4 linked regions of the Drosophila melanogaster genome follow. The protein of the gene in region 4 purifies or fractionates together with the protein of the main gene of each other region. This does not show direct contact. Each region holds a gene or a part of one and is shown on either strand. Other genes may lie near its edges.

What was found.
Region 1: the proteins of Vajk3 (region 4) and CG4962 purify together in Drosophila melanogaster (affinity purification with mass spectrometry, with the first as the bait; one large-scale study listed by BioGRID). This does not show direct contact.
Region 2: the proteins of Vajk3 (region 4) and Cpr62Bc purify together in Drosophila melanogaster (affinity purification with mass spectrometry, with the first as the bait; one large-scale study listed by BioGRID). This does not show direct contact.
Region 3: the proteins of Vajk3 (region 4) and Uxs purify together in Drosophila melanogaster (affinity purification with mass spectrometry, with the first as the bait; one large-scale study listed by BioGRID). This does not show direct contact.

Annotation. Positions count from the first base shown.
Region 1 is NT_037436.4:16,293,590-16,297,666, forward strand, and holds CG4962 (uncharacterized protein), read right to left. Parts: upstream 1,959-4,077; 5' UTR 1,895-1,958; coding exon 1,883-1,894; intron 1,820-1,882; coding exon 1,460-1,819; 3' UTR 1,122-1,459; downstream 1-1,121.
Region 2 is NT_037436.4:1,839,089-1,844,192, forward strand, and holds Cpr62Bc (cuticular protein 62Bc), read right to left. Parts: upstream 2,997-5,104; 5' UTR 2,917-2,996; coding exon 2,902-2,916; intron 2,805-2,901; coding exon 2,673-2,804; intron 2,100-2,672; coding exon 1,704-2,099; 3' UTR 1,193-1,703; downstream 1-1,192.
Region 3 is NT_037436.4:8,178,549-8,184,337, forward strand, and holds Uxs (UDP-xylose synthase), read left to right. Parts: upstream 1-2,374; 5' UTR 2,375-2,492; coding exon 2,493-3,135; intron 3,136-3,202; coding exon 3,203-3,384; intron 3,385-3,671; coding exon 3,672-4,172; 3' UTR 4,173-4,821; downstream 4,822-5,789. Other genes in the region: mthl7 (methuselah-like 7), read right to left, coding at 128-326, 390-564, 629-880, 942-1,118, 1,294-1,966; ERR (estrogen-related receptor), read right to left, coding at 4,971-5,789.
Region 4 is NT_033779.5:13,944,256-13,949,232, forward strand, and holds Vajk3 (Vajk3), read right to left. Parts: upstream 3,222-4,977; 5' UTR 3,143-3,221; intron 2,873-3,142; 5' UTR 2,846-2,872; coding exon 2,834-2,845; intron 1,796-2,833; coding exon 974-1,795; 3' UTR 501-973; downstream 1-500.

The sequences.
Region 1 (4,077 bases), on a different chromosome or scaffold from region 4:
TTATGCCGAGCTGAACTGAGACAAATTAAACCTATAGCTGGGCACAATTGAGTTGTATGGCTGTCAAGGTCGAAGAGCTGCCAACAATGGCCTATTGTTATGGGCGATATGAATTATATTTAGCAACCCCACCCATCATCTTATGATTTTCACTCGGCGAGATAACATTTATTAAGTAAAATCGTAAATTGATTTCCATTACGCCGCCGGCAAAGCGCAATACACGACTTTTCAATTTTCGCATGAATTATAGTTGGTATTTTCGGTCCAGGATCAGCTGGCCGGCGTTAAAAAGGTAATTAAGTGACTCAATTCACTTTTCAGCAGCTGTTGATGTGCTCCCATTTTTCATTTGCGAAACTGGGCGAAAAGCATTTAGCTGCGACAGTTGGCCGGCCATTAATAAAAAGATATTTCAACGCACTTTTCACTGGTCAACCTGTTGACAGGCGCACGCGTTTGTCGCTTGAGTCTTTCGTTTCCCCGCAATGATAATTGTTAGAGGAGGGGGGGGGGGTATAGTGAGCAGGTGGGCCGGGCAAGGCGTTGCAATAAAACAATTTTTTTTGGTATTTGGTTTTTTCCTTGCAAGTTTCAAAACACCCGACGGGAGTCGATATGAATCGAGCAAGTTGCTCAAGTAAAATTAATTTGAAGTGCAATTGAATGCTGAATGGCGATCGGATGGTTGGGGTAAGTTCGCAGTTGAAAATCATTGAACAAGCAGTTTTTTGTGAAATGCTCGCATCTACGAACTAGCAATACTATCTGGAATCCTTATAAATGCGAATAAAACTGATCACTTCACGCTCAACTAAACTAAATTGAAAATAATTCCACACTTCATAAATAGACATTTGTCCCCTTAACAATTAGTTTTGAGTTAAGTGGCTTACATTGCGAAATGTGTGTGTGTTAAAACGGCAAATTAAAATATTTCCACATTACTCTGAAAATTCATATTGCTTCCAAAACGTTAGGTATCGTAAAGATTTCATTGAATTGTGTGTAGTAAGGCATATTTGGATATGGATCTTAAATATCCATCCGTCATAATTTCAAGTGAATATTTTTAAACTAACATATATAAGCAACCAGTAAATGAAATAAGCCATCATATTCGTTTAAAGAGTCATTTATCGTTTATTTACAAAATGTTATGAAGCCACAATGCATGGAGTTGCACCATAATAACAAAATCAACGAAACTTGATCCTTCATCAATCTCTCTCGCTCTCGCCGCCTCCCGTTAGTTGTCCTTAGTTCTCTAGTTGTCTCTGTCTCCAAGTGGGTGTCTGGGTTTTTGAGGGATTTTGTACACAATTTGTATTTCCGCTTCTGACTACGAAATGCAAATTCAACACTTTGACGGCAGCAAAATGCGAATTATCCGCTTAATGTTCTCACTTCAATCGGGGTCGTCAACGGGGGGCTGGTATCCTTTCCGACATCCAGATCCTTAGTGCAGGTAGGCTCCGTGTCCGTAGCCGGCGTATCCCAGACCGTAGCTACCGTAGCCGCCATAGGATCCATGGTAGGTGGAGGTGGAGTGCAGAGCAGGCACGGCATGGACCAGAGGAGCGGCATGGACCACTGGAATGGCCTTGGTGGCCACCTTGTAGGTGTTGGCATAGGAGGTGGCCACCGGGTGGGCGACAATGGGAGCGGCGTAGCTCTTGATGATCGGGGCGTGCGAGATCACAGCCGGAGCGGCATAAGCCGGAGCCAAGGCGGCGCCGTATCCCAGTCCATATCCATGGCTGTAGGGCGAGATTACTCCGGCATTGGCCACGGCGCACAGGGCAGAGATGAGGGCAATCTGCGGAAAAGAAACTTCTATGTTAACTTCATACGAGCGGTAATCCTTTAATCCTGATCTTACCAGTTTGAACATTTTGCTGGTTTTGTGTTGTTTGGACTTCTTGACCGAAGAGCTGAATGTGTTATGCTTAGACGTCTCAAGTAGCCCTGTTATTTATACCCGCAACATGAGAAATATTCTGACAAATCTTGGCCCAAAGAGCGGCGGAGAGGGAGAGCCAACACGCCCCTTTCGACGGCCGAGAGCCGAAGCTTTGTGCATTTGCCGACCAGCAGATCGCGAAAGAGATCAGTCACGCGGCGGCTTTGGCTTGAGCCACTGAGCCACCGCCAATTTTAGCCACCGAATCCCCAAGATTTTCATGGAGAACCACCACGAGCACTTAATTCAATTTGTATTTTTTTCGTCAGCTATTGTCGGCGACTTTTGCTCTAACGGAAACTTTTATATTTCCATTCATTTCGTCGTGGAAATGAACAATTGTCTTCTGGGGGTTTCCAGCTGAGAAAATTCTACGGCTAAATCTGGTTTTGCCTATTAGTAATTTTGCAATTATTCCAGTGATCTAAATTGGCCATTAAGTAACATTTCCTTTGAAAGAGCACTTAAATTTATCTATGAATATTGTGTTTTATTCAAAACCGTTGAATTCACGTGTTCAAATTATTTAAATATAAGCCTGCAAGCCTATTAAGCATATCTGCCTAAATCCTTTCTAAAACCGAAAACACGCACTTTATTATCAATCAGCTGACTGACTGACTGACAGCTCATTAGAGATATAGAGATCCGTAGGTGTGGAAAATGTTGTTGTCCAGATGCAAATGATCAATCGGAGCTGCCTCTCCACGCAGCAAATAAACTCAAGTGGTCCATGAAAAATTACTCACTTTAATAACTGACAAACACAGAGTGGAGATTGGTGCAGTTGGTCATTTTGGTGGCTGCTGGACGGCAGCTGGTTTGCCTATATTTTGCATGCATTAATATTTAACTGATTTGTTATCGCGCACATGGCGTATGCGTAACTTGGGTGGAAGGAGCGTAGTCAATTGGAAACATAGGTAAATCATATTTGCCGCATTTCGAATGGCCTGCCAGATTTCCTAATAGCCATGCTTAATTCTGAAACAGCTTTGAAATCATATCACGGGATCAGTCAGAACACGAGGCTCGAAAAGAATTGCAAAATGCTTGTTTTGAGCCTTGAATATCGGTGTATTGAATCAAAGAGTTGTATAAAAATCGAAATTCTCTCAGGGCGAACAAAGACCGACTTAAAGTTTATGAGTCATAAATTAATAAACAATTACGATGGCGACAATTCTTTCGACTCAGCGACCCTGGCCATCGTTGCTGATTGGACCCCAAATGGACAATCTGCATATCAACGGGGCTTAGTGCTAGTCGAATCTAAAACTAAGCCGAACCCTTCACCAAAGCCAACACCTCGTGATTTCGACCCGTGGCGTTATGCAAATGCTAACCAAATTGTCGCATAAATCTCAATCGAAGGCGGCTTGATTGACACCAAACAGGATGCCAAATTGCGTGGCTATCTATCGATCCGCAGCTACAAAACCAAATATGCCACCCACTCGGTTGTTTTGGATTTTTGGTTTTATTCGTGCTGGTTCCGATTGCAGCTGACCACCAAACTCTGGTGGCCTGTAATTGCATTTTAATGGCCTACCAATTGCATTCTGTTTGTCTGCTAGCCATTGAGCAACGTCCATCCAATGCATACATTCGATTTTGATTCAGATTCGCATTTCCCAAGCGACGCCCAAAATACTTTGATTGCCAACAAATCATTCAAAAGTCGAAATTAAAAGCCGTCAATTTTCCAACTCAACTCGTGGCTCAACTCAATATTTTTTCCTTTCGTGATTTATGCGATTTTTCTGGGGAAATAGTCGGACCTGAAATTTGTCCGCCCCATTCTGGTTAAGGAAATTTCCCAAGTCGCAAGTCTGGAGTTCGCAAATGGAGCAGAGGTGACTAGTTCGACTTACATGCATTTGATTAGACCAGCTTGTGACCGCAATGAGTTATTATATATTTTTTGTTATAGTTTAACATAATTGTCGGTTGGGTGGAGGCCAATTTGCATAGCTGACTCCCTCCCATCTGCGGATCGCTGGCTGTGACTCGAGTGTGGCCAATTAAGTATTAAGTATACCACATGTTGGACGCCACTCGGTCAAGGCCGTGCTTACCCCAGCCTTTGTCACAATGTCGTGCACATTACAATG
Region 2 (5,104 bases), on a different chromosome or scaffold from region 4:
CCTCCACACACTCATCTCTTGTGACTTAAATGTTTTAAGTTATGCTTTATTTGTTTATTGTCTTCGCTGGAGAGATGCCCCCGAACTTGTGACCGCACTGGGGGGCAACTCCACCGTGGGCACCCTTCTGCGGTGGCTTCCAACGGCCACAAAAGTAAAAGTGCGTAAGTGGATAGGCAAAATGCGGTGGCATCAATCGACCTTGTTATGTGTTATTAAAAAAGTGTCTATTGGAAAGGATACATTTCTAGGGAAATTGTTGTATATTTGTAAGCCAATAAAAAGGTATGCTTAGTATGAAACCCTTATTAAAAAATTCTACATATCTATAAGGTACTAACTAAATAATTAATTTAATAACTAATAATATAAGTAGTAAAATAATAGTAATAATAAAGTTTAATAAATGTTTAAAATGGCTTTTCAATAAAAAATACAGTGGCATAGTTGCTTGTAGCATTCATATTGTTTTTATTAAGCTTGAAAGTAGTCTATGACTGTAAGTCTTGTTTATAGCAGCCAAAAAGCACACATCATCTATCTATTTTTTTCTAAGCCTTCAAAAATCAATTTGAAATCGTAGTTTAAAGTTGTTTAAGAAATCAATGCCCAAAAGTTTTCTACAAAATAATATTAAAGAAAGCCCATTTAATGAGTTCGAGTAGTGCATCTGGTGAAATATCCTTAAATCGGAAATTAAGAAAACTCTATGAATGCAAATTCCAGATACATAAGGCTATATATAGTTTTATATTTAAGCTTCAAGTTTCATATGAATGCTGATGCGAATCTTATTATGAAAGCGCACGTCTTGCCAGAGTACAGATGGCATAGTTCTTCTGCAGATAAATAATCAGTTAATAAACACCAACTGGTTATTGGCGGATCAAATGATAATCAACCGCCGATGATTACCTTCACCTTTTTCACTCCACGCCCACAAATTAGCCAGATCGATTATTGTCAATCAAGTGGCGTGATCTCGACGAAGTGCTCTCTACCCATCAATTTCCATAACATTCATAACTAATGGAAACCATAATTACCCATACTTGGAATCAATTTGAAAGTGAATGTGTTCTGATCAGAAATGCCAATCAACTAATTAATTGTAAGATAAAACAGAATAATCAAATTAAAGATCAATCTATGTTTTCAGTTCCTTTCTGTGCAGTAAAAAAACGAAATATTTGAATTTTTATAATTCTCTACATTTTGTATTTATAGCATTGTCAGCCGTTTCAGCTTCAAACTTATAGTATACACAAAATTATTATAATACATGTGTTTTTTTTTATTATTTTTTTTTACATTTTGTTCGTTTTTCTTCATCTTTTCAGGTTGGTTCTTCTTCGTGGGCGTGTGGCAGGATGGGCGTTTGTTCCTCACTCGATGTTTTCATTATTTACAATTAAAGAGAAGGTTGATTAACAAACAAAAGAGAGAATTGCGCGAAAGCTGAGACAGAGACGGCAATGTGTGTGTGTGTGTGTGAGGGAGACAGAGGCTGCCGGGAAAGTCCGGGGAATCCACGGCAGGACATGATGGACATGACTGTGGTACTGAGTATTTTAGCAGGCTTCGTCAGTGGATCGATCAGCCGTTTTGTGAGGTCGTCAACGTGCTTAATAAATTACAGAAGAGTGGTGTTAGCGGTGCAGGTGGTGCTTCAGGTGGTGCATCCAGCGGACTGCTCCACTTCCTTAGTAGTGGGCCACATGCGCGTGAGCGTTGTGGGTGGCGTATCCGTAGGCGGGCACCTGATGCGCCAGGGATCCGGCGTAGGGCACGGCGGGAGCGGCGGCCACATGGTGGGCAATGGCTGGGGCATAGGCCGGAGCGGCATGGACCACGGCGGGAGCGGCGTGGGCAACCACAGCGGGAGCGGCGTGGTGCACAGTGGGGCCGGTCTTGTGGACGACGGCGTTGAAGCCATTGTGGTCATCGGCGGTGTACTCCACGGTGCGCACCGAACCATCGGGCTCCACCAGAGAGTAGGATCCCTTGACGACATCACCATCACGCACTTCGTGCTGCGACTTCACGTCTCCGGTGTGAGAGTCAGCCACTCCGTAGTTGTAGTGGTACTTGGGGTAGGCCTGCGGATTGGCGTAAAGATTCCATGAGAAGAGTACGGGCCTGCTAGGATTGGGTGCTAATTTTATGTGCATGCCACACGCCACTCGAAGCAGCTGGCCATGCTAATGAAGCTAGCGTGGGAAAATGGCTAAATGGCAAATGCCACAGTGACCCTGGGCCACCAGCATCCACAGAGGAGTGGGTGAGAGGTTGTGCGGACTGATGGTGTCAGTTTTAGGGCATATTAAGTATAATTTTATGATTGCATGAACAGCCGGTAGGCTGTATAACTTTTTCGGGCTTACAGGTCGTATGAGTAATGTTTGCGGGAGGGATTACGTGTCGTATAAGTAATTTTTATGAGTCAAGATGCATGCATTTCTTAGCTCTGGATGGTATTGTAGTCGTTTGATTTTAAAAGAGCAATAAACTCATGATGCACATTTTCAATTAAGAGGAAGCTTTTCAAAATGTATGTTTTAAACAAGTCAAATGGATTCCAATAGTAGGACATTGATTTTCTTTAAGAGTTAGTAATCCTCATATGCGCTACTTTGAAAGTTAATCCTTTTTGGGTTATCTTGCCCACTTACATGGTAATCGATTCCCTCGTCGTGGTGACCATGGCCGGCATAGATGGCCGGGGCGGCGGCGTAGAGACCAGCACCATGTCCGTGGAGGACTCCGGCGGAGGCGGCGCTCAGGACGGCCAGGCAGATGAGGGACTAGATCACAGGGGATAGGGGTTTGTTTTATTAGTTTGCTATTTCGATTGGATCACAGGGCACTTTTGGCTGTCACAGGGCTGTCCTGTTCACTCACTTTGAAGAATGCCATTGTTTGGATTTTTGGGATTTTGTTTCTTGCAGACGCGAGTGTGTGCTGTACGTTGAGCTGGATTCAACTGATAACTAGAACCAAGAAGGAAGCCGCTTTTATATACAAGACAACGCCCGAGCGGCCCAAACCGAGCCGAGTCACAAAAAGCCGAATGCCAGTCGGTCAGCAGGGGCAAAAACAAAACTACAATGAAATACCAGCCAAAGCCGAGCTTTGCGGAGCGAAGCCCAAGAAGTTGAGGCCCCCACAACGCCCCTGCAACGCCCCCCCTTCCCCACCAACAATTCACAATTATTTAATGCTTTTCAGCGAAAAAAAACGAGAGTGAAGTTCAGTTCAGATGTGGAGCGACTGTTGGCTGGCTGTGGTTTGTCTTTGGAAATTGTCTGATTTCTGAGATAACCGGCGATGTATGCAAATCGAAGTCGAAATAATTGTGAAATGGAAGGGAAAACCTCACTTAATGCGAGTTCTATCTGCTGAAATCAATACTCGTATTAACATATCAAATTGGCCATTATTAAGGCGTATTAATTATGAAATCATGATCGGAAAAAAGTTGGCTATCTATATATTACCATCTCCCATCACGATTTAATTGAAATGGCCTTTGCAAGCTCTAAACTACCTAGCAAAAACAATCTTCGCGCACGAATAAAATTAGCCGTAAACACAAATATTTATGAAATAAAAAGACAATGGCTGAAATAAGTTAAAATTGCATTTCGGTGGGCGGCGGTGTTGCAGCCCCCTCCTGAAAATCCCCATGGTTTTTTTCTGTTGCATGTTGCAATTTGTTCGCTCGTCTGTTTCGTGGGCTTCAAGTCGAAGTTTTCTATGTTCTACGTTTTCTGTGCCTTATTTTGCTTGCAGCGGGCGTCGTCTGTCAAATCTTTTGGTTAATGTGATAGTACACTGCCAAAAATGGTTTGAGGTATTGTAGATTAATTTCGAAGTCTTAGTAAAACATCAGTGGTATCATTCCACTAAAACGAGCTACTGACTCATGAAATCCCATAAATCTTGAGATATTTTTGCAATACTTTTAACTAAAGTCAGCAAGTGGCTTTGTTCTTCAATTGTTTTCCAGTGCACTGACTGTTGTTCCTACTGACACTTTTTTAATTGCCATGTAGGCCGTTTTGCTTATTAAACCCATCTGGGAAAGACAAGAGGGGTGTGCTATGGGGAGGCCACCACCCGAAGACGCTGTAGAAACGCCTTTGAAGTGGGGCGCAGCGTGGCGCCACATCATTATGGCCAAAATAGACGCCAGTTCAGCCCCAACTCATTACCAGGCCAAAACTACGAACAGTAAAAAAGCAAAAGCGTTTGGTTTTGTCATATTTTTGAGGGCTGCCTTGCTTTGTTTTACGGCATATTTGCGCCAGGCTTATGCTACGTACTTGCCCTGCTTCGACTCATTTAATAAATTGTCTCGAATTAGTAGCTCGGCTCTGACATTCCCCCTTTGGTGCCCCCCCCCCCCCCCCCCCCTCTGAGCCACCATTTATGCCAGGCTGGCCATCGCGTACTACAAATTGAAGTAATCATCTCAAGGTTAGCACGACACAGCAGCAAACGACGTGTAACGGATCACTAACAGTTTTAATCTCAGCAGGGGCGTAGTTAAAAAAGAGGGTTTACTTATCCGAAAGTTAGTCCAGATTACTTTACACATGTTGATTTTCGTAGAATGGGCAGTTGGGAATGGTTAGTTGGTAAGTAAGTAGACAATGAGCTTCCTTAGAATTTAATTATATTTCTTTAAAGTTTCCCATCCCCCCTTTATGATATACCCCTCTAAATATTCAAACTGCATCTTTGAGTTTGCCTGAATTAGAGCACGATCTGATTGCGTCCTTTGTTTGCGGAAAATGACGCACCGTCGTGGCCAATTAATTGAATTTTTGCAGTCGAGACTTTGAAAAACTAGGTTTCGATTGGGTTCGAGCAAAAATGCTGTAATTGATTGCCTTTTGATGGAAGATTGAGCCATATTTGGGAAGAGGTAGGGCTGATCAGTGGTTCGCATTGTGTCGATAGAATATCCCTGATAAACAATCGTTTCAAGCCACTCAAAATTTTATTACAACTTCTAATATAACAATGCAATGCAAAACCAGTTCCACCAACTTCCTTGATACGCGGTTTCGTTTCCTAGGTATTCACCAACCCGTTAGTT
Region 3 (5,789 bases), on a different chromosome or scaffold from region 4:
TTATTTATTGAGTTCAATAAAATTCAATTCAATTCCTTCGTTCAGCAAAGGATATTAATAAAATGAGGGGCTTTAATTGTTTAAAGCTTTAATTGTAAACAATTATTAGAATTATATAGAAACAAGCTTAAGAATCCATCATTAGAGTCCATGTGCTGCGCTTCAGGACGAGCAGAACGAACAAAACAATTCCAAACGCGCTGTGAAAATACTCGGATATTATCCCGACCCATTCCCAGAAAATGTGGAGCCGTGCAGAATACGGAATGACATTGAATATCCAAGTAAGGCCCATCACGATGGAGAGCCGCAGGAACTGTAGGTAACTATGTGGATAATACGGCAAGGATAACTAGTTTACCAAGGTCCAAGGTTTTATCATATCTTACGTCTGGCTGTCAAAGTTTATGCAGTTAATCCTTCCCTCCTCCTCATTTGTGAACTTATTTATACCCCCCTTCACTTTCCTAATGTAAATGGCTGTCAGGGCGAACATGGCGACATTGAAAGTGCTCAGGGCCAGCGACGGTCCACTTATATAGATCCAGACGGATGGGTGCCAATCTGATATGGAAAAGCAATACGTAACCATGGTAACGATTTAAAAGCAATCGCATTGAAAGTTTACCTTTGACCGAGCACCGAATAAAACCGACCAGAGGCAACCAGTTCCATTTACTGGGATCGTTTTCCCAAATCTGATTAACTATATAAATACTTCCCGTCATGATTGCGGCTGTGCTCCAGACGAAGGCGTTGTACCGCAGGAACCGATAGTTAGGGTCGACTCGATTGAGCGACGTCAAGACTTTCCACGTATGGTAGCTGATGACGGAGAGCCAGAGGTTGGAAGCCATCCGGAAAAAGTGCGAGCTGTAACCTGCAAGAAGTCAACGATATAACATTTAAAGCTTCCAGAGATATCTCCAATTCGAACTAACCAGCTGGAGAGCAAATGCCATTCAATAGATTTAAATGATCTAGTATCATGATCAAGCACTGGATAAACCTCGAAACTATACAGCATACAATGCACTTGCCAGTAACATTTCGCAGCTTCTTAATGTATAGATATACTGCGATTGTTAGGACAAAGCATATCATTGTTATAATTAGAACTGAAAAAGAAAATATAAGAAATAAAAAACCAGCTTATTGTAATTAAAAAACTTGCAAAGGGCACACAGAATGCAGTCAGCAGTTTGCACACCAATAAGGAGTTATTTTCGTTTCTTTCTATATAGCTATGAAAACGATATTGATGACTTTTGTTATAAATAATAATTGAATTACTCTCTAAGGATCCAGGAGATATGTGGCTTGTGCAGCGGTGTCGTATTATCCACATGGACTTTGGAAAATCCGAATCAAAGTTGTGCCGGTACAAGCAGTAGTCCTGTTTTTCCATGAAGAGGTCAACGGTAACCCAAAATTTTCCATCCTGGAACCAAACTATAAGTCCACATTTATTGAAGATTTGAATGCTAACCTCTTCTAAGAAATAGTTAAAGTCGCTGATGTAAATCATTTCATCACAATCAAAGAACTCATCTCTGATAATAGCCATATCGGTGAGTGGTACTCGTGCCTGTAGGTCCATGTATGTGAAGTATATATAGGGTTTGAACCGGGCGAGCTCCTCTTTGAGACCATCATCGCATTTTCCGTTGGCCAAAAAGTTCTTGGCTGGGCAGCAGATTCGAATACAGGGCCGCACGCTGCAAACACAGGCCCTTAAATGCTTTTCAATCGGCGTAATCGAACCGTCCCCAAACTGCCTGAACTCGTAGTATCCAGTTAAGCTAGCAGGAATTTCGATGTCATCATATAAATACGAATCGTTTTGCCTTTCAATGTATGAGATATCAACCGTGTCGTAGTAGTTGCACCCGGGAATATCTGCATTTGAGTTGTTCGTAAAAATTAAAAGCAGAACTGTACAGAAAATCACCCAAGGAAGCCTCATGCTGAGCACTACAACACTTGGCACTAAGAACTTTGCCCGACTGGCGATCGATGCTCATCGTTGGCAGTTTAAATAGCCTTCAATAGCCGTTTGGGCAAACACTTTATTCGGAAAGTAGTCCCTGCTGACCAGCCTAAGAAAGCCCTCAAACAAATTTAGTTTTCAAACTCATTTTTTGGCAATTTCCGACCTTTTATCGTTAAAACGAAAAATATTCGTCCCTGGGGAAGATCACCAACAAAAATGTCTAATTCATTATCAATTCATTATAATTTATAATCCAAAATCAAAATGTTCGCCTGTCGATACTTTTGATGTAAATTTTAAAATTAGGCGGGAGCTTTTCCCTGGCGTTAGATTATTAATCCATTTAGAAATTCCGTTTGAGCCATCTGGCCACTCTGGCACCTCCTGATAACGCAATTGTATTGTTTATATAGTTTCTAAAGCCGAACGAGAATGCAATGTGGCGATATCAGTTGCTGATAAGCACTGGAACCCTGCAGTACACAACCCATAACCGACGATGACTGCCACCAAAAAGCGTCTGAAGATCGTTGCAGCCATCTCGCTGCTCCTCCTGCTCCTGGTCTACCTTTACCGAATGGCCAGCTTCTGCCCAAGCGGAAAGGTCGCCGTTTCCGTTCCCGGCGTCGAGGAGGTTCAGGCCAAATGGCCGCCCACGGAAAGTCCGCTACAAAGGAGCCTTCAGATGGCGTACGAGGAGCAGAGCTCTCTTATTCGAGAACAAAAGGCCGAACTCCAGCGCACAAGGGAGAATTTGGCCAGATTGGAGGAACAAGTTCGTAGCCTCCAGACCAGCACACCGCGCAAGTATCCGAAGGTTAAATACCTGAACTATAAGAATCGCAAACGCATACTAATTACCGGAGGAGCTGGCTTCGTGGGCTCCCACTTGGTCGACGATCTGATGGTCCAGGGGCACGAGGTCATCGTGGTGGACAATTTCTTTACGGGACGCAAGCGAAATGTCGAGCACTGGCTGGGGCACGAGAACTTCGAGCTCATCCACCACGACATAGTGAATCCGCTTTTCATCGAGATCGATGAGATCTACCACTTGGCATCGCCAGCCTCGCCACCGCATTACATGTACAATCCGGTGAAGACCATCAAGACCAACACCATGGGCACGATCAATGTACTGGGTAAATATTTATAATATCAATCAAAGAAAATAAGGATTACACCTAACGAGTATATCTTTTTTGAAAGGTCTGGCCAAGCGCGTGATGGCCAAGGTTTTGATAGCTAGCACTTCGGAAGTGTACGGCGATCCCACAGTGCATCCGCAGCCAGAAACATACTGGGGACATGTAAACCCTATTGGACCGAGAGCCTGTTATGACGAGGGAAAGCGTGTCTCCGAGACGCTGAGCTATGCGTATGCCAAACAGGTAATACCTTTAGCAATATATATACTTTTTTGGATAACCACATTCCTAAGCCAGATCGAAAAAAAAACATTAAACTAGCTGAGATCCAGAAATGTGGCAGATTTTTCCTGTTTCGATCGCTAGTTGAGCATTAAATGATCTCAATTGGAATGCTATTAATTGATGTTCCGCTCGGTTGGCTGACGCGAGATAAGATTTCCAAGCGCGAGCACTGACCACATTTTTTGATCTTGGCCAGCAATCTGGGAGTCAAATTAATTGCTCTTTAAATGTATCTGTATCGACAGGAGAAAGTGCAAGTCCGAGTGGCGCGCATCTTTAACACTTATGGACCGAGAATGCATATGAACGATGGACGAGTGGTGTCAAACTTTATACTTCAGGCGCTGAGGAATGAAACCATTACGGTGTATGGAAATGGCAAACAAACGCGCTCCTTTCAGTATGTTTCGGATCTGGTGGACGGAATGATAGCCCTAATGGCATCCAACTACACACAGCCGGTGAATTTAGGCAATCCTGTGGAGCAGACAATCGGCGAATTTGCCGAGATCATCAAGAAACTGGTCGGCGGGCCCAGTGTGATAAAGCAATCGAAGGCCATGGAAGATGATCCGCAGCGCAGAAAACCGGACATAACTCGAGCCCGCCAGTTGCTCCATTGGGAGCCAAAGGTTCCCCTAGAGACTGGACTTCAGCGGACCATCTCCTACTTCCGCAACGAATTGGCGCGTAGCGATCGCTTTCAGGAAAGCTCCAACAAGTACTTTGATACACATACACCGTAGAATTAATTGGGCTTAGCTCTAATTGGTGATGATGGAACGTCTCTAGTCTGCAAATGTAAATATGACCATCGTTAGCACTAATTGTAAGCCCTCAAGGACCACAGAATACCTTTGTCATGGTTAATTTTTTGAAGTTTTGCGATATATCAGCCTATGTATGGATTAGGAAATAGTGATGTATAAATGCGATCAAATGCACTGAATTCTAGAAAACTAATTTGAATTTGTTTAGGAAAAGAAAATCCCCAAAGAATACAGAACTTAGGGAGTATGGAAACAACAGTTACAAACGGTTTATTATTCACGGACGACATTGCTATTCTTTTGACCGCATGTGTACCACATAGACACAGAATCACTGGGTTACATGACACTTAGAAACAGTATAATCCATTGTATTGTAGAACCACTATCGTATTTTAAAAGTGCCCACAAATTCATACGTTACATCAGAAGGTTGCGGCATATACATATATCAGAACCAGTGAGAATTGAACAAATTATTGAAGATCTGTGACTCACAACTTTAGACACATAACACCTATATGCGCCTTTAACCAGTGTAAGCACACCCCGATTCTAGAAGATAAGTAGGGTTTTCCAGTTGCTGTAGTTGGTAGTCCATTAAAAGAGATTTTTTCTGCGAACTAATCTTACCCGACAAGTATTTTACTATTTATATACATGGCTTATCCTACGCTTAATCTACTCTAGTATACATCCATATATACCTAAGACTATATTTGCACCTTTGCTTATCAGCTAGATCAACTAGTTTGGGCGCCCGCATAATCCTTTTCACCTGGCCAGCGGCTCGAGCATCTCGAGGAACAGTTTCTTCATGGTAATGACTTCATCGCGTGCAATTCCACGCCAAAATCTTCGCAGGATATCATCCGCCTGCCGCAGCGAAGGCAGCAAAAGCAGCAATTGTTGCTGATGCGACACGGCCGACGAATGACGCAGCAAGTAGACCACATCGTTTAGAGAATTAAGAATCGTATCACGAAATGCGCGCAGGGAACTCTGATCATCCAGCAGAATGTCGCAGTTGGCCAGCAGGAGCGCCTTTAGCAAGTAGTACTCCTCCCTTCGTGGCGATATTCTTTCCATGCGCTGTGCGATCTGGACGCAGTGGTAGTAGAACTCCGTGTAACCGCACTCCTTGGCCAAATGTTCATCCATCCAGACATCCGTGGCGAAGCATAACTTGCCATTGAACGGTAGGGACCGGAAGGTCAGCTGGAGCGTCAGGATCTCTGCCCACGACACCTGGAGAAGCTTCATCTGGTCGTTAAGTGGCAGATCTATAAAGCCAGGTATCTGCTTGGCCCAGCCAATGACGCTGACCAATTCCTTGTCGTAAATATCACTAAGGACGCTTAGTATCTCATTGGGATCATTGTTGTTGTTGTTTTGGAAAATGCAAGTCCCATTGGGCGTAACAACGCTGGACTCCAGTTTTATGCTGCCCGAGGAGGATGAGGCCTCATCATTAGTTATGCTAGTCGTGTGGACTTGCGGCGGCGGCGTTTGGACGCTCAAGGCATCCGGCTCATATGAATTGAGCACCTCCAGTATCTTGACATCGCACAGCGAGGTGGTGTTGGATTGGTA
Region 4 (4,977 bases):
TCATGTCATCTCAGCTGACTGACTGGTGAGAGGATTTTCGGGTTTAAGGATCAGGAAGGCGTCAAGACATCTGTTTTTATTGTGACTGAGTATTATTGATTTATTACAACTTAAGCTGTACTTAATTACAGGTATGCATAATTCGCATCTCTTGGCTTGAAATAATTACTGGTATCCTACTTGTTACCTTGCAAGATTAAAGGGTCTTCGTATAACTTTTTATTAAAGTGATCGGAACATAAAGTTTTTGAACCATTCCGTCTATTTAATAAATATTATTAGAGAGCTGTAAATATTCCAGAAAATGATCCTCAAAAAGTCTAGTAAAAATACATTTTTTAAATATTATTTATGTTGAGTAGCCACCAAATCAAAAACGACAGCTGTTTAATAACAACATACTCTTTATTTACAAAATATATTTACAAGATATACAATTACAAAGAACCCTATGACAAACTATTTCCAGCAGCTAACCAGTGATAAAGACAGTGAAATTTATTTTATACATTTTATTTTATTTGTCCTTAATAGATTTTCACATAGATATTTCTGTTCTTATTATCCATTCAATTCATTGTGCGCCGAAACCTTTCACTGATAAACTTGGCCAGCTAAACTGTTCATAAATGGCGAAATTTACAAACAGTTAGCTGGTATTTATCCTAAACCTGGAGTTCTTGGCCCAGCACAATGGCTTCCATTGGATGGCTGGATTGGAAATAATTTACAAAAGGCATTGCTTGTTTCATCTTGGGGGTTCTTATCAGCTACAGAGAGTGTGGCAGGGCGGAAGTTTGACTTCCAGGGGGTATTTTAAGAGTTTGCTTCTGCGCTCGGTTTTGGAAAGGAAGGCCGACAGGTGGAGAGAGTGGGGAAGATAATTGAAAATGTTGCTAGATATCCTTCGGCTCATTTCCATTAAGTCCGCTCGCTCCAATAGATTCGCCTGCTTCCGGTCCATTCCGTCCGCTTACTTGTGGTAACCATGGTGGTCGGAGTAGACGGTGGCATCGTGGCCAATGGCGCTAACAGGGTAGCTGCTGACGGCAACGGTGGGTGCGTGCTTGACCACGGAGTGGGACACCACGGGCACCTTCACGTAGACGGGGTAGGGACGATCCACATGCACGGGCACCTGGACATTGACGGCCTTCTCCACGTAGACAGGGTAGGGCTTGGCCACTGGCACGGGGTAGGGCCTGGGCACCTCAACGGGCACTGGGCGATCGACGGGCACATGGACGGGCACCTTCTCGTGACGGATCACTTCGTAGGGCTGGGGCACTGGCACGGGCACCTTGACGTACTCCTTAACGGTCACGGGCACCTTGCGGATGACTTCGTAGGGCTGGGGCACGGGCACCTTAACTTCGACGGGCACGCGCTTCTCATGGACGACGGGATAGGGGCGGTCCACATGCACGGGCACTGGGATTCCCTTGGTGATGGTGATGGTCTTGTGCACATCGGCCTGCTTGCTGATCACATAGGGGGCGGGAGCGTGGTGGACAGCGACGGCGGGAGCAGTGTGTCCAACGGCGATCGCGGGACCACTGTGGCCCACGGCGACGGCAGCGGGTGCGGAGTATCCGGTCAGTCCGTAGCCATGTCCGTAGCTTCCGTGGCCGGAGATGGAACCATGTCCCAGGTAGCCGGTGTCCAGACCAGCATGACCGTAGCCGTAGCCCAGATCGAGCAGGCCGCGCTTGTCCAGCTTCTTCTCCAGCGGCACCTTCTCACCCTCGGTTTTGCTGGCGCAGGCGGAGGCCACCAGCAGAGCGGCTAAGCAGATCTGCAAAGAATTGAGTTGGTGCGATTGGTTATGAAACTATGCATTTTAGAGACTTTTAAATAATAATAATATATTAATTTTCTAGCAAAATTCTAGATATTTGTGATTTCTTAATAGTTTATTTCACAATAACTAAGTTAGTAAGTAGAACTTGATTCCTTGCAAATATAGTTTAAATCTATTTCAAAATGAAATGAAATAAAATTTAGTCATACTATCTTCGAATTCTCAACTGTGCAAACTCATCTATCATGAAATTCGTATAGTCTATTCTTTAAGTATTTGAAGCTTCTCTATGATAAAACAATTCAAGATATGCAACCTACATAAATTGCCTAACGAAAACGTTGACTTTTATCACCCATTGCCTAGTTTGATCGATTACCTAATCGCAATAGAAAGCGAAGGCGATAGGCGATATGTGGCCCGATTCGCATTGTGTCGTCCGTTGTCTCATCGCCCTCTTTCGCGATTCAAATGGTCAAGTGAAATTTGTGCGTGCCTGGCATAAATGATGCAGTGCAGTCATCGCCCACTGCCACGCCCAGTTTCCGCAATACGCCTCAACCGACTGGCGTCACGTTACGCATACGCAGTGGGCAACTCAGCGAATGCATTTGGAGCTGGCTTTAATTGAGCACATGAACCCAGTTGATTACGGCCTGGTAATAAACGTGGCTGGCACTCCAATTATGATCGTTCAGTTAATAAACGCTTATTAGCCATGTCGTTCAAGTTGAATTTGGTCGTTTGCGAGCATTTCACCTTTGATTAAGGAAATTTATCGGATTGAATTGTTTCAGGAAGTTGTTTGTTGTTGAAGATGGCCAGGTAAACAATGTGAGGCATTTGCAATGCAAAAGGCTATATTGTTCCAATTAGTTCATGTCAGCATTGTTCTGTATGCAATTCTTTGAATTATTACTTGATTTCTCACACTAAAATATGCTACCAACAGCGATAGTTCACATACTCGTACCCATTTACATATCAAACTAAATTCTATATGTCTAATTACTATATGTCTGTTGTACTTACGAATACTTTCATTGTGGAGTCTAATGGGACTTGCCAAGGCTGTAAGTAAACAAAGAAAACAATAAGATTATTTATACGAAATGCAGCATAGATATTTTTTTTTTTATAAGATCAGCACTTTAATTGGTATTAACAATCTGTTCTTTGGGAAAATGTTCCTTGGAAAATTGAAGTTATTTAGAGCACACGGCTCGCACAGTTATTAGTTTATAACTTTTAGATCACAGCTTAAACTTTATTTCCGTTTCACATAGACTACACGCATTTTAGAAACAAACAAAAATTAACTTGGCATTTGGCTTCACTTACAAGCAACTCAGTAACAGCGAAATAGACTGTGGAAGGATTGTAGAATCACTAGCGATTCCAAACCTTTGACTGGATGCTGTCTGTGGTCAGTGGCGCGCTTTTATACCCCCAAAGAGTTTTTGTGTCAAAACGAAACTGAAAACACCGCCAAACCAAGTCGCTCAGCGGTTTCCAAAAGCTTTTCCCACCACAAACCAGCCTAATTGCTCTCTTCAAAGCTCTGAGTTCGGCTTGGTTTGCGCTTGTATTGGTTATATTTGTGTGTATTAGTGCGGCACGGAAAGTTGCAAGCGGAAGCGCTCACCAATACACTGGCATGCCACCAATACTCACGCAATTGCGGCTTTTCTCTGTGTGTATTGGTGACTTTAGCCGCCAACTTGAAAGTGGCTTATAAAATATGGGTGCAAATGTGATCAAATCAATTTGGGAACATAAAAAGCAAATAAAATAAATTAACTAAATCTTGAATTGAAATTTATATTGGGAAAATCCCGCAGAACGTACTAGCAATCCTTTCTTGTTTTTTTTTTGTTTTATTTGGATAAAAAGTCTTCGGGCTTCTTAGCAAGTTGTTCCCAAAAATATAGATTTCAACGAAAGGTCATATGTCTATCAAAGTCGTTATGTTTTGTTTGTCAAGTTTCAGAAGTCAGCAGTTTTGGTCGAACCTGATTCCTAATATCAATAATTCTGAGTCTACCTAATGGAAATTCAACTAGATTTTGTTTTGATTCCATTAATTAAAAAAAAAAAAAAACTTGCTTATTAGTATCATATTTATACGTTCGGCTCGCATTTTAAACAAAGGGTCTATAAATCTGGAATTGTTCAAAGGGGTAATCTGGTTTTAATCTTGTATAATTTCAATATAAAATTTATTTCGAAACATTTTGTGGCCCAATAAACAAAAGTGTAACAAAGCAATTTCTTTCATTTGAGTTTAATAAATCTCAAATTCACTTAGCAGATCTAATATCGTAGAACTTGATTTAACGGTAACTTGATTTATAACTTAATTAATGTTTCTTATAATTTTGTATGCATTTGGCGAACCGAATGTTTTCCGGATTTTAGTATTTAATTTTTAACCGGATTCAGATCTTTTAAAAATGGCAATTAATTACATTAAACTTTGATTTTGTAATTGATATTGTAGTAAGCAACATTTATCAAAGTTCACTGTACTTGTAACCAGTTACTTGCTTTATATCAGTATACATTGTTGCAAGATAGTAATTTGAGTGTGATGTCTCAATTTCTATTGCTGTCATAATTAGGCTTTCTGGTTTTCTTGCCACCTTTGGGGTACTCGGGTTACCATTTTGCACTTCCTGCAACAACCAGGTAAAAACGGAAGCTGCCTCTCTGGAATTTCTCGGCATCTTTGATGTCATTGACAATGGTTTAGTGATCACCGGGCGGAAAAAATAGATACTATCTGCGATTGGGGGTGGTGAAAAGTGATGCAACAGATGCGGTGCATAACCGTGGGCTGCGAATCTCAAGTTTCGCACTCGAAATCGATTATCGGAACGCTGGGTGTGGGATTGTGGAGTGGAATACCAACGGGGATTGCAAATGGATCTGTGACTGGAACAGTGACTGGATCGGGTGCCATGCGTGAGATCTGCACTGTGGCGTAAAAGTGAAAGGCCTTTATGGGTCGCCGTTGCAGTAGCGGCATTAGATGCTTGTGCATTTGCACAAAATCAGATTATATATCAGCCAGGCTGAGTCCGTGATTTGGCAATTGCCAGCATAATTATTTGTTAATGCGCAAAATGAAACCTGTTGAATGTTGGACTCCGCTCCAATCGGCCGACTGGCAGCCA